Linked DNA regions of Stegostoma tigrinum. The protein of the gene in region 1 interacts with the protein of each later gene in a pairwise test. Links are inferred from orthologs where the notes say so. Each region holds a gene or a part of one and is shown in the gene's direction. Other genes may lie near its edges.

The links. The genes of interacting proteins can lie anywhere in the genome.
Region 2: the proteins of gcc1 (region 1) and atf4a interact in binary tests that used the Homo sapiens proteins (3 or more experiments, as listed by UniProt). The two-hybrid records come from large-scale screens. The link is inferred for Stegostoma tigrinum from reciprocal best matches to the Homo sapiens genes GCC1 and ATF4.

The regions. Positions count from the first base shown.
Region 1 is NC_081378.1:21,994,234-22,001,686, forward strand, and holds the start of gcc1 (GRIP and coiled-coil domain-containing protein 1), read left to right. Parts: upstream 1-4,430; 5' UTR 4,431-4,573; exon of another isoform or gene 4,574-5,125; intron 5,126-7,453. Other genes in the region: uncharacterized protein LOC125463107, read right to left, coding at 3,918-3,984. UniProt on the Homo sapiens protein: Probably involved in maintaining Golgi structure.
Region 2 is NC_081391.1:9,242,769-9,249,863, forward strand, and holds atf4a (cyclic AMP-dependent transcription factor ATF-4), read left to right. Parts: upstream 1-4,070; 5' UTR 4,071-4,245; intron 4,246-5,266; 5' UTR 5,267-5,373; coding exon 5,374-5,608; intron 5,609-6,164; coding exon 6,165-6,982; 3' UTR 6,983-7,040; downstream 7,041-7,095. UniProt on the Homo sapiens protein: Transcription factor that binds the cAMP response element (CRE) (consensus: 5'-GTGACGT[AC][AG]-3') and displays two biological functions, as regulator of metabolic and redox processes under normal cellular conditions, and as master transcription factor during integrated stress response (ISR).

The DNA.
Region 1 (7,453 bases):
AGAAAAAGTTGGATCTAGGCTACCTACTTAAAGTATTTTGAAGTGGTCTGCGTCTCATCCATAACAAGAAATGTTTGAAAGTATCAGGGCAGGCTAAACAGCAATCAATAAACTACACTGCATTCTGAGTTTCATAAATGTGGCAGAGTAACACACACAAACACAGCCTAAGTGGAGTACTGTGCAAAAGTTTGGGCACTATCCTTTAAGAAAGACTTGAAGCTTTGGAGATGATATAGGAGGGATTACTGGAGCAATTTCAGAAATGAGAAATTATAGTTGTGTGGACAGGCTAGAAAAGTTGAGTTGGTTATCGTTGGTCAAAGGCTAAAGCAATTTTTAAATTATTATTCACAAAATAAGGGCACCACTGAACTACATCAGCATTTAATGCCCATCCCTAATTGCCCAGAAGGCAGTTAAGAGTCAACCACATTGCTCTGGGTCTGGAATCACCTGCAGACCAGACCAGGTAAGGATGGCAGTTTCCTTCCCTAAAGGACATTGCTAAACCAAACAGCTGTTAAAATCATGGCGAGTTCTCAGCTCAAATCAGAAATTGTACCCACTAGAAAACTAAATAATCAGAAGATACTGATTTAACATGATTGTTCAAATAATCAAATTACATAAGGATAAACTTTTCTCTACACAATGATGAGTAGGACATAGAATGCACCACCTGATAGGAACAAGGAACAAAGAACAAAGAGCAAAGAAAATTATAGCACAGGAACAAACCCTTCAGCCCTCCAAGCCTGCACTGATCCAGATCCTCTATCTAAACCTGTTGCCTATTTTTCAAGGATCTGTATCCCTCTGCTCCCTGCCCATTCATGTGTCTATCCAGATACATCTTAAAATGATGCTATCATGCCCACCTCTACCACGTCCACTGGCAACACGTTCCAGGCACCCACAACTCTCTGCGTAAAGAAATTTCCACGCATATCTCCCTTAAACCTTTCCGCTCTCACCTTGAAATTGTGACCCCTGGTAATTGAGTTCCCCCATTCTGGGAAAAAGCTTCTTGCTAGCCACTCTGCCTATACCTCTCGTGATTTTGTAGACTTCAGTCAGGTCCTCCCTCAACCTCATCTTTCTAATGTAAATAATCCTAATCTACTCAACCTCTCTTCATAGCTAGCGCCCTCCATACCAGGCAACATCCTGGTGAACCTCCTCCACACCCTCTCCAAAGCATCCACATCCTTTTGGTAATGTGGCAACCAGAACTGTACGCAGTATTCCAAATGTGGTTGAACCAAGGTCCTATACAACTGCAACATGACCTGCCAACTCTTGTACTCAATAGACCTGAACATCCAGATCTCTCAGTGTAATTTTCCTCAGGGCTTTTCCATTTACCGTACAGTTCGCTCTTGAATGGGATTTTCCAAAATGCATCACCTTGCATTTTCCTGGATTGAACTCCACCTGCCATTTCTCTACCCAACTCTCCAATCTATCTATATTCTGCTGCACTCTCCGACAGTCCCCTTCACTATCTGCTCCTCCACCAATCTTAGTGTCATCTGCAAATTTGCTAATCAGACCATCCAAACCTTCCTCCAGATCATTTACATATGTCACAAACAACAGTGGTCCGAATACGGGTACCTGTGGAACATCACTGGTCACAATTCTCCATTTTGAGAAACTCCCTTCCACTACAACTCTCTGTCTCCTTTGCCCAGCCAGTTCTCTATCCATCTAGTTAGTACACCCCGGACCCCATGCAACTTCACTTTCTCCATCAGCCTACCGTTGGTTACCTTATCAAACACCTTACTGAAGTTCATGTATATGGCATCTACAGCCGTTCCCTCATCTATCAACTTTGTCACTTCCTCAAAGAATTCTATCAAGTTGGTAAGACATGATGGACTTAACAGTAACTTTAATTAGAAAGGTTTCAGGAATGCGAACAGATGAAATGAGTCTTTGTATTGGAGATACAATATAACAGAGAAGATTGAAGTTAACAACTTTAAGGAAAAACATGAGCAAATTAATGCAGCTGTCAAGCTGACTCAGGAATGCAGAATGTAGGTACAAGTCTTTGATAGAGGTATGGCAAGTTTTGTACGCTGATGGAAATGCACAGGGGATCATTGCATTCAGAAATAGGACAAAAGCAAGGAAGCTACGGAAATGTTTTGGAAAAAACTAGCTGTGCTTGGTTGGTGTATTGTATCCAATTACAAATACTGCGAGAAGGTGCAGGAGGAATGCAGTCAAATCATAGCTGGAACGAGGGGTTTTGATTACATATAAACATCGAGAAATTAACTTGTTCTCTCTTGACCAGAAAATGGGAGGTTCAGCAAAGGGATTAAAATATTATGAATTATTTTTATAATTAATAGGATAAAACTGTTTCAGTGGCCAAAAGGCTGATTTGAGAATAGATTTAAGGCAACTGTGAAAAGAATCCACTGCAACAGGAGGTGACAGCCTTCCTTCATGATCTGGAATGCACTGCAGCATTTTAAACAGTAATTTGAAAACTGGATTTAAAAAATCCTTTTAATCAATCAGCCATCGTAAACTCACAGCGATTAGTACAGCTGCCTCATAGTGCCATGGACTTGGGCTTGATTCCAGACTTGGGCAAATGTCTGTGTGGAGTTTGCACTTCTCCTTCTGTCTGCGTGGGTTTCTGCTAAATGATCCAGTTTCCTCCCACAGTCCAAAGATGTGCAGATTTGGTGCACTGGCCGTGTTAAATTACCCTATAGTTTTCAGGGATGTGTGGGGTCAGTGCAGACTCATAATGGGCTGAATGGTCTCTATCTGCACTGCTGGGCTTCTATGGCAATGCTCAAATGGCTTTTACTGTAAATGAATGAGAAACAGCATGGGCAAACCAGAAGGTGATGGCAAGTTATGATTCAGGACATGAACTCCCCAGACATTTCACAGAAACTGTTCTTAGGGCTGATGAGAAACAATAATCTAAAACCAACAATATTAGAGGTTAAATCCAACACTAGGATTACATATACCAAAAAAACATTAAAACCAAATAAGTATTTATAGAGATAAAGACAGATCACAAACTAAACATTCAACAGCACCCTCCCAGTATGAAATTTCTTACAAGCCTCAGTATTATCATTCACTCATTTCCTTCAAACTCATTACAAACGCAACAGGATTATACGTACCAGTCTCATATTGTGAAACCTGAAAGGGTTCAGAAAAGCTTTACAAGAATGTTGGAGATAGAAAGGACTGCAGATGCTCAAAGCTAGAGTTTAAAAACAAGTTGGAAAAGCACAGCAGCTCAGACAGCATCTAAGGAGCAGAAAAGTCACCTTTTTGAGTCAGAATCCTTTTTCAAGTCCTGCTGCACTTTTCCAGCTTCTTTTTTTTTTGATCCTTTACAAGGAAGTTACCAAGATTGGAGGATTTGAACTATACAAAGACACTAAACAGGCTGGGGCTATTTTCCCTGGAGAGTCAGAGGCTGAGAGGTGACCTTATCAAGGTTTATAAGATTATATGGGGCAGAAACAGGGTGAATAGCCATGGTCTTTTTGCCAGGGGTAGGGAATCCAAAACTAGAGGGCAGAGGTTAAAAGTGAGAGGGGAAAGATTTTACAAGGGACCTAAGGGGAACTTTTCTATGCAGAGGGTGGTGCGTGTATGGAATGAACTGCCAGAGGAAGTAGTGGCGGCTGGCACTATTACAACATTTAAAAGGTATCTGGATTGATATATGAATAGGAAGGGTGTAGAAGGATATGGCCAAATGCTGACAAATGAGACTAGGTTAATTTAGGATATCGGGTCGGCATGAACAAGTTGGACCGAAGGGTCTGTTGCCATGCTGTACAGCTCTGTGACTCTAATTGAGCTACAGCCGGTTATCCGACAGTCCTTGGCTTGAACCACGATTACAGGGCACTTACCCATCAGGATTCTCATCTGCTTCCTCGAAAAGAGCCGGTCAAACACTTTCGACAGGGTGATCCCCATGGTTCCAGGAGAGGAGCGGGTGGGCCCAGAATCGAAGTTCGGCGTCTGGGTCAAGGCACGGCAATTCGAGGCCTCAGAGGTCAGCGCCCTGCGTTTCCGGGTACGGGCCCGGGGGTTTGATGGCTGGTGTCGCGGATCAGGAGCTGGTGCTCAGGATCTGCCGGTCCGAAGTCTGGCTTTAGCGCTAACGACTCAGGTACAGAGTCTGGCTCTGACAATGCCACAGGCTGGGCTTGATGGCTCCACTCTGGCAGTTCCTGGCTGGGAGCTCGCGGCGACTAGTAGTTTCTAACGGAAGCGGCAGCAGGAAGTGCCTGCGTGATGACGTTCTAAACAATTTCCGGCCAACGCGGAGGGAATGATGTCAACAGCCCGGTGTGATGTAAACCCATGACCGTCCCTTTGGGCTGTTCGACCAATCAGTGGCTGCTAGTGTATATGACATCACTGAGCTGACCCCTCACCCTGAGCAGGGTGACCTTCTCAAGATGGCGTCTTTCCTGTTCCATTGGCGACGTCAGCAAAGGCTTTCAGGCCTCAACGGCTTGGTCTCGGATTGAAGGCGACAGTCAGCCCGGAGAGGAGGCAGGTCTGGGTGAGAAATCGCTTTAAGGCCGACACGAAGACGTTTTACTTGGGAGAGAGGGTAACGGATTGGAGTGCGGTGTTAGGTTGGAGGGTACTGGTTGACTCTGGGTCCGCTGCTCTCGGTGAGTGAGGCTCTGGTTCCATTGAGGCCCCGTCAGGCGCGGTGAAAGATCTCAGGAGTATTCCCGTTAAATGCAGCTGATTCCTCCGCCCCAGCCCTGGACAATATTCTTATTTATCTTTCAGACAGCACCATTTCCTTGGGCCTTATTAAGCCTCTAATCTGAACTTTATGAATTATTGTTATGGGGACTTTGTTAAACAGAAATTGTTCCCTACAGCAATAAATAGACCTCGAAAAGTACTTCATTATCTCCAGAGCACTTCGAGAAATTCTGAGTTCATGAAAGGCCTCGGAAATAAGTGACTTATCTTTTGAAGATAGTCAGAATTTGTGTTTCGTTATACAGCGCATTTCGTAACATTCCAAAGCGCTTTACAAAAATTAAAGTGCATGATAACAACGTGGAAAGCACCAGCAAAATTGCATACAGTAAGTTCCAGGATTTTTCTGTTTGTTAACTAAATGTACGTCTGTATGAGTATGTTGTTCATAATCTTGTGTAATAGTCACTGTATCAAATGCTTCCTGAAAATCCCGTATCAGGTTTCCACTGATAAATCCTGCAGAGTTTCAGTCTCTGAAACTGTACTTCGTAGGTCTGTTCAAAATTGTACAGTCAGCTGACTTACTATGACTCAACCAAAAGCCAGATTCACTGCAGCTAGTTTGTAAATAGAGCCACAGAGTTGTACAGCATGGAAACAGACGCTTCAGTCTAACTTGTCTATGCTGACTGTATATCCTAAATTAAGCCAGTCCAATTTGCCAGAATATGGCCCATATTCCTGTAGACTCTTCCCCTCTTCATATACCCATTCAGGTGCCGTTTTAAATGTTGTAATTGTAATGGCCTCCTGCACCTCCTGTGGCAGCTATTACCATATGTGCACCACCTGTGTAAAAAAAGTTGCCCCCTTAGGTCTGTTTGAAATCCTTCCACTGTCACCTTAAACGTATGCCCTGTAGTTTTGGACTCCCCTACTGTTATGGGGAGAGGAGGATGCCTTGGCTATTCTGTCCGTGCTGCTCATGATTTCATAAACCTCTATAAGTTCACCCCTAAGCCTCCGATGCTCGAGGGAAAATAGGCCCAGCCTGTTCAGTCTCTCCCTGTGGTGCAAACCCTCCTACCCCTGCAACATCCATACAAACCTTTTCTGCACCTTTTCATGTTTAATAACATCTTTCCTATAGTGGGGAGACCAGAATTGAATGCAGTATTAAAGTGGTACAACCAATGTCCTGTACAGCTGTATCCCACCTCTCATACTCAATGGACTGACTAACAAAGGCAAGTGTACCAAAGGCCACTACCCTGTCTACCTGTGACTCCACCTTCGAGGATCTACGACCCTGCATCCCAAGGTCTCTTTGGTTGAGCAGCACTTCCCAGCACCCTACAAAGGTGCATAAGTCCAGCCCTAATTTGCCTTACTAAAATGCAACACCTCACATTCACCTAAATTCAACTTCATCTGCCTCTCCTCGGCCCACCTCATCAAGGTCCCGTTGTACTCTGAGATAACCTTTTTTTTATTGTCCGTTATACCATCAGTGCAGATGTTATTTCTATCTTATTGACTTGAATGAGGAAAACTTGTGGATGACAGAAAAATACGTTGGAAAACAAGTGGAAAAAATGACCCAGAGTCATGATATGAGATTGAGATTATATGTGATATTCTACCCTTTGGCAAGGACAGTAGAGGACCAGAGTATCATTTTAAATAGAAAAAGACTGCAGAAGGACTACACAGGGATTTGGGAGTTCTTATCCAAGAATCATAAAAAGCTAGCATTCAAATTCAGTGTGTAAGTGTGAAGGTAAATAGAATGTCAACCTTTATTTCAAAGAGAATGCAGTAAACCTTCTCCACTGGTCAGGCCACAGATGGATTAATGTAAACAGTTTTGGACCCCTCACCTAAGGAAAGATATACTGGCATTGCAGGTAGTCCAGGGAAAGTTCACTAGGCTGATGTCAGATGTGGAGGGACTGTTTTATGGGGAGAGGTTGGGCCTGTATTCATTTGAATTTTGATGAATGGTAGGAGACTTTATTACAATATACAAGATTCTTAGAGGATTTGATATGGAAAGGATGTTCTCCTTATAGTAGAGGATAGGACCAGAGAACATTATTTCAGAATAAGAGGTCACAGAGATAAGGACGAATTTCTTGACTAATGGTTTAGAAAGGCATATGCAAATTTGATGATACAAAGTTAGGTGACATTGTACACAGTATAGATGTTAGGTGAAAATTATTTGCTCTAGAAACTAATGAAACATATCTTGAAGTATTTTTTTCCTTTATTCATTCACGGGATGAGGGCATTGCAGGCTAGACAGTATTTATTGCAATTCCTGATTGCCCAGAGTCAACCAGATTGCTGTGAGTCTGGAGTCACATGTAGACCAGACCAGGTAAGGACGACAATTTCCTTCCCTAAAGGACAACCAGATGGGTTTTTCCTGACAATTGGCAATGGATTCTTGGCCATCATTAGACTGTTAATTCCAGATATTTATTGAATTCAAATTCCACCATCTGCTGTGGCAGGATTCGAACCTGAGTCCCAGAACCTTATCGGGGTCTCTGGATTAACAGTCCAGCGATAATACCACTAGGCCATTGCCTGCCCCAGCATATACTGCAGGCAACACCATTTCAAGGCCAGGCTCCAGTTCTTGAAATCAGACTATTCATAGGAACTGAAATAAATGTCTAATTTTGCACCATCTGGATTACATTAG
Region 2 (7,095 bases), on another chromosome or scaffold:
ACACCAAATGGACTGCAATGGTTCCCGCAATGTGGTGACAAGAACTGTGTGTGGTTTTCCAGCAATGTTTTATCCAGTTCTCACATTATCTCTCAGCTCTTAGAATCTGTGCCTGATTGAATAAAGGGAGCCATCCTCAAATGTCTTTTTCACCGCCTTCAGTAATCAGTGGTCATTAAGTCTAAGGCCTGATATGTCCCTTTGTACTAAGTGTGTGAACTAGAAGATTTGGAAATAACTTTTCTTTGCCATTTTCTTAGCTGTCAGAAAATCAAACTCTCTTCAAATCAATGGATTCAACTCAATGGCAGCATTTTAAATTTTATTTGTGGCCAGATACACATCTACGTGATCTACAGCGACAAAAAAAATTGTTCCTCTCAGTCGTCCAGGATACTCTGCCAGTGCCACAGATGAATTTGCAAACTTGAAAGCGTAGCCCATTAAATCTGCCTTCTTTCCGTCCTGCTGCGTTTTTCTTTGGAGGCACAGAGTCAGAAAGAAAGGCTGTCATTAAATCCTGCCTTCCAGGATGTCACTGTGCTGCTTAGTAACTAATTAAGTACTTTTGAAATGTAGCCAATATTGTGATGTATTAAGCAACACAAGGGTAGAATCCCTATTACTGAGCCAGTTATTCTACGGTTAAGTGCCACATTCCTTAAGAGGTGTTTCAGAACATGCCAAAATAGGTTTCTAAAAGAAAACATCTCCCTCTAAGTGGGCTTGACAGGATAGAAGTGGAGATATTGTTTCCCCCTTGTGGGAAAGGCTGAGACCAGAGGGCCTAATCTTAGAATGAGGAGCCACCTATTTAAGACAGAGAGGAGGAGGAATTTCATCTCTATGGAATTCTCTACCATCAAGGGCTGTTGAGGTTCGGTTGTCAAGTTCATTCAAGGCTGAGATAGATTTTTAACCAGTAAGAGAATTGAGATTTTGGGGGAAAAGGCTGGAAAGTGGCATTGAGGATTATCAGATCAGCCATGATCTGATTGAATAGGTAACCAAATGGTCTAACTCTGCTCCTACGTCTTCATGGTCTTATTTCACACCGGTAGTTTCTGTTCCTCAAAGCCAGAAGATTTGCACTCAAGTTTGTCCTGGCATCATTACATGTCCCAACAGTTTGATTAAGAAAGTCCTTCCCTTAGCCACACCAGTCTGATCTTGAAGGCTATAATCAGGCCTAGTGTTCCTTTGAAGGGGAAAATGCTTGGGAATAGCACTTGTAGTAAAAGGGAGATTTGTAGTACAGTAGTGTTGTCCCTACGTGGAAGGTCTGGGTCCAAGTCCCACCTTTCCCAGAGGTGGGTCAGAACAAGTTGGTTATAAATGAAAGAATAAAGTGACAGCCATTTTAATGATGTTAGTTGGAGGATGTTAGTTGGAGGATAAGTAATGGCCAGGGGTCTGGGGAAAAGTGGGCTAATTTATGCCTACCTGAGGGGGAAGGCAGGAGTCTTGGTTTAATAGCTCATCCCCTGAAAAACAGCTTCTCGAACACAGCCGCATTCCCTCAGGGGGAATGCCAGACGCAAGTTGATGAAGCGTCACCGAACTTGAAACATTAACTCTGCTTTCTCCCCACCGATGTTGCCAGACCTGTTAAGTTTCTACAGCAATTTCTGTTTTTGTTTCAGAACTCCAGGATCCACAGCTCTTAGTTCTATTTTAACCCATATCACATACATGTTCTGAATATTTATATGACTATTTAAAGTTAGAATTCAAATGAAAGGGAAGTTTTATACTCTACAGATTATCATTACGATTCATGTTTTGGATTGGGGCTTGAAGCACTTGGTAATTAGATCTAGATTTCTTTAATCCTCTTGATGCACCATTGTCGTCACTTTCAGTCATACTAATTATTTTGCCTGCCACATACCAAGTAAATAACACAGTGCAGAAGCCCAGATGCTGTTAATGGAAATATTTAACTGCTCTTTAAATGGGGTTTAATCATCATAGAACAGCTTCCATGGAAACGAAACGTGGACATGCTTCACAGAATAACATGCTGCTTGCCAAGTCACGGAGAAAGTTGAGAGGTTTAAGCATCGATCCAGCAGATTGTCAGCACACTCACAAATGCCACATGTACAGAAATGCACTAGTGTGCACGTGAGGAATAAATTCACAGCTTGAAGGCAGATTTAATAATGGTGGGGTCTACTGTCGATGTTTTGGTTGAAGTATTAAATTCAAGCCCCCATTTGCCCATTCTGGTTTGTCAGGTAATGGCTACACAGGTTAATGTGGCATTATTATAAATACAGCAGGACACGCAGGATTTTCTTACACATAAATGATGGTTTTCACTGCAATTCAAGTTTGAGAGTCAAATCAGCGCAATGTTGTCTGAAAGATTTTTTTTCCTAAGAGTGCAGCTACAGATACAGAATTAAATCTTTAATCTCAACAGACCTGATGAAGATTATCCACCATTTTAATTATCCTTGCAGCTAATGTGCCTGACCTGATTTCCATCAATTACTTAACAATGCTGAAACTTCCCTTATAGTAAATGAATTCATGTTTTCATCATGAGTTCTAATTCTCTTACAAAGTGACTACAAAGACAGTACATCAAACATTAAAACACAGATGAAATGGCCTGCTCCCAACTGGTTGACGTTCACACAAACCTCCTCTCATCTGACTTTAACTGACTGTATCAGGATAACCTTCATCTCCTACCCAGAGATAGGAAGGCAGCAGAAATAAATTAAACACATGGAAAATTTGAGGTATCAATAAACTGGGAATCAAAGCATAGCAATGCAAGTATGAGTGAGTGGGACTTAGCGAAAGTTTGAGTTGCTTAGCTTTGGAAGTGGCGGGGGGGGGGGGGGGGGGGGGGCGGGGGAAGAGGGGTAGACACCTATTTGAAAAACACAGCAGCCAATGCGCACACAACAAGATCCCAGAAACAGCAACGTGGTTGTTACATTGAAACTACAACATTCAAGTAGGCCTTGTGGCTTTTAATAGATCCATGCAGAGTTTAAGCACAACGTGAGCCTCCGCCCACCACTTATCATGCTCTTGCAACATATCCTTGGGCTTCTTTCTATCTTGTATACGTAGTTAGCTTTCTTATAAAGTAAATGTACATTGTCCATCTCAACTTGTGGCAGCAAGGATGGAGGGGGGCAGCAGTGGTGCAGGCTCAATGGCTGAATGGCCTACTTTGCTCTGACATCTTACGGTAGAAGGCATCTGGATAGGTACGTGAATAGGAAGGGTTTATGAGGAATATGGACCAAATGCTGGCAAGTGGGACTAGATTTATTTAGGATATCTGGTCAGCATAGACAAGTTGGACCAAAAAGAATGTATGCTGTACAGCTCTATGACACCAATAACCCTTGATTATCAGACTGACAGAGCCAAGTAGCCCATTCATAACCTATATTTCCGAGGTAGAATTACAGAGGGTACAAAGTAAAAGCCATTCAGCCCATTGTGGCTGTGCTAGCCCTCGGAGTTACCCAGCTAGTTCCTCTTCCACAGTGCAAATATTTGCGCCGTTCAAATCCTCATTCCCTGCCTTTCGAAGTTTTAATCTGTACCTTATGGTTCACTTATGATTTATGGCAGCATCTCCATTAAAAAGTAACAACACCCACCATGATACCAACTTCCCCCTCCTCCCCAACAATTAACCCACGTGGTTTGGTTCGGGGCGTGCCATTGACCGCCGCTCTGCCAATCAGCATCATCCCATCACGTGAACGGACCAACCAGAAAGCGCCTCCCGAACAGCCGAGCGCGTGATCGCAAGTAGGACCGGCCACCGTCCTCGCTTCTCACAAGCCCCGTTTCTGCTTTTCCAAAAAAAATAGACAACCCACCGCAAAAAATAAATACAATGCCCTCTGCTCGACGCCATAAGTCGAGACTAAAGAAAAATCAGCCGCAAACGCCGATGATTTAAAGCTCATTTCTTCCCGCTAGCCTGCGAGCGGAATGGGGTCTATTTTGTGATGACGTCACGTGGGCGGAGGGAGCAGAGGCATTAGGGGAGAGGTGAGGCCGAGGCTATTTAAATGCCTGCTGCAGGCTCGCTGCCGTATTCCGCGGCTCGCAGATGATTAAACGGAGGAAGTTTCGCACTCTTTCTCCGAGTCCGATCCGCCCGGGGTTCGGCATGGCGGCTCAATAGACAGGCAGCAGCGGCAGCGACGCATCAGTGCAGTGCACTGGGCAACAACAGCACGCACCAGCTTCAAAAATGGCGTAAGTCATCCTTTTTCACGCCCTCGCCGAATAAAATAAAACCCCGGAAGATCCCGCCTTTTTAATACATGGGGTCCCGCCATTTTATCCTCTTCTGCCTCGTGGCCCGAAGAGGCCTCAGTGGGCGTTGGGGATTTCAATGAAATCGGTTACACCGGAACAGTTCGTGAACAAACGCGATACAATCCGCCTAAAATGTAAACACCCGATCGTGTTTTGTGTTATTTTCCGGACATTAATCGGAAGGGCCGGTTTCCTTCCCCCACCACCAAAACCAGAGCTCAATACATTAATAACGCGACATATTTTCCTTAATCGTATGCCCCCGGTTTTGAAGTGCTTCATTTTTGAAATCTTTGGTGGTTGGCAAAGATGTCTCTGGGCATGTTTTGGGTTGATCAGTCGATGTGCTAAGGCACTTCCATCTTTGGAATAGTTAACCCTCCTGGCGCTATATTTCTCTCTATTCCCTTCTTTAATAAATGTTATGTCTCTTGGGGCTGGGTTAGGTGAGATGTTCAGGTATCCTCACTGGCGCCAGCGGGTTGTTTGTGACTGGGTGAAGATGGTGGCTTGTCTTCATGCTTAAACGTGGCAGAGTCACGAAGGAGACACCCAGTTGCTCTTGTCCTTCCGCCATCTGTTCCAGGGTGTGGTTTGAAGATCCTAGTTAACTCTTTAGTGGGACACCCAGTGCCTTATCTACATTTCTCCCACCAGGCTTTCAAATTGCGCATCTGCCCCTTTTTAAGCTCTCCTACAGTTTTCTTTACTATTCAGTAGTAATTTGATGTGTCAGCACTTAAAATTCCGTACTTGTGCCTGCTGGCAATTCGTCTGTTGAGTCTCAATCTTCCTTCCGCTTCCCCAATATGCTCTGGGCAATCATTTGGGTTGTCTGAAATTGAATTCAAATGTCTTGTGTTGACGTGCAAGTTTTTTTGTTGTGCAGTTTTTCTTGAATGCTGCTATGCCAGAGTTAAATGCATGGAAAATGAATGATATCCTGTTTTATTCCCAGGCTCCACAATGGGCTTCTCAGCTTTGCTGTAGTCGACAGCATAGTAACACTCGACTTGAAGACTTTGTTTTTCCTTGAAGAGTATCTCAGTTCAAAAATACAGTCAGATGACTTCAGATTGGCCAGATTCTTTCTCTTCCCTGATGGAGGACTTCATGATGTCCCCGAGTTCGCCGTTTCTGACGGCTGAAGGGGACCCGTGTCTCCTGCACACAGACCTGGCGGAGGCCGGGCCGGTGAAATCGTACCTCAGACCACTCCTGTTTGATGGCAATGAGGAAAGCGATGTGTCCTCCCTGATCACGTGTGTTGACAAGTTACTGGACACCGATGATACTGTGGGTAAGTTAAGAACAATCGATTGTGATGCTTGAGTAGCAGCTGATTGTAGTGGGTGGTTGACTCACTTTTGAATTAGTTGACAAACCAATGTAGGTGATGCACTTCAATTACACATTAATGCTCGGTAGCCAGTATTAAAAGTTGAAAACATCTCTGAACATCTGTAAGGCTCCACTTTCAGCTCTGCTGTTTCAGCACCTGATGACAACACAGCCTGTGCTTTGTCATACATTATCTCGTAATGTGGAGCTGAACTTTTTTAGGTAATTTCCTAAATAAAAATTGAAAGTACTGTGGATGCTGTAAATCGGAGACAAAGACAAGTTGCTGGAAAAGCTCAGCAAGTCTGGCCGCATCTGTGAAGAAAAAAAAGTTAATGTTACTGGTCTGGTGACCCTTCTTCAGCAACTTCTGTGTTTCTTCTTGGGTAACTTCCTGTTTAGTTCTGTTTGTATTGAGACTCTCGGTCCTGTCGTTTTTGCTGTCCTGTGTTCTGTAGTGGATTTTTTATGTGAATAATGTTGACTTAATCTTCCCCCTCCCCTTGTTTTTACAGAGGATGCGTTCACCGGCTTCGACTGGATGGAGAAGACTGATCTCTTTGACAATTTGTTCATGGGTGAAAATGGCTCTCCCTCCTCAGAGGAGCTGTTGGCTGTCTTGGACAGTTCCTGTGTTCTGGAAGAATTGCCTTTTGATCCTTTGCCAGCTAAACTACAAGTAGCTGACCTTGGTTTGAGTTCTGATCACAGGCCATTTCCAAATTCACCCCCTGGGTCAGATCAGCTGGCTCCTAGTACCCCAACCATTACCCCAGAATCTTTAATCCCAACCCCTGATCACTTGTTACACTTCCTGGAGAATGAGACTGGAGTTTCATGTGAGGAATTTCCTCCGCCCCTGCAGGACTCTGTCAAAGAGGAGGATGACAGGCTAATGCGGGATTCTGACAGTGGAGTTGGGACTAGTCCCCCACACTCTCCTGCTGAATCATCTGACAAAAATATGTCAGAAGGGTCACCACAAACTAGTGGCTTGTCATCAGATGACTCAAGTCCTATTAGGCCAAAACCATATGATCGTCCCAGTACAGAAAATGTAGGCAATTTGTCAAAAGTAAAAGTTAGTGTGGAGTCAAGAGGTCTGGAGAAAAAGTTGAAGAAGATGGAGCAGAACAAAAGTGCAGCGACACGGTACAGGCAAAAGAAGAGAGCAGAGCATGGTGCCATACTTGCAGAATGTAGCTTACTGGAAGAGAAAAATAAAACCTTGCAAGAGAAAGCTGACTCATTAACAAAAGAAATTCAATATTTAAAAGACTTGATTGAAGAAGTTAGGAAAGCCAAAAGTAGTAGAACTGCAAAAAGCTTGTAATATAGCATTAGCTATTGTAGATTTGTAAATGTAATTTTTAATAAAATCATAAAGTAAATGTCTTGTTTGTACTTGTCTTCTCAGGACAGCATTTGGCTGCATTATTTTTGAAA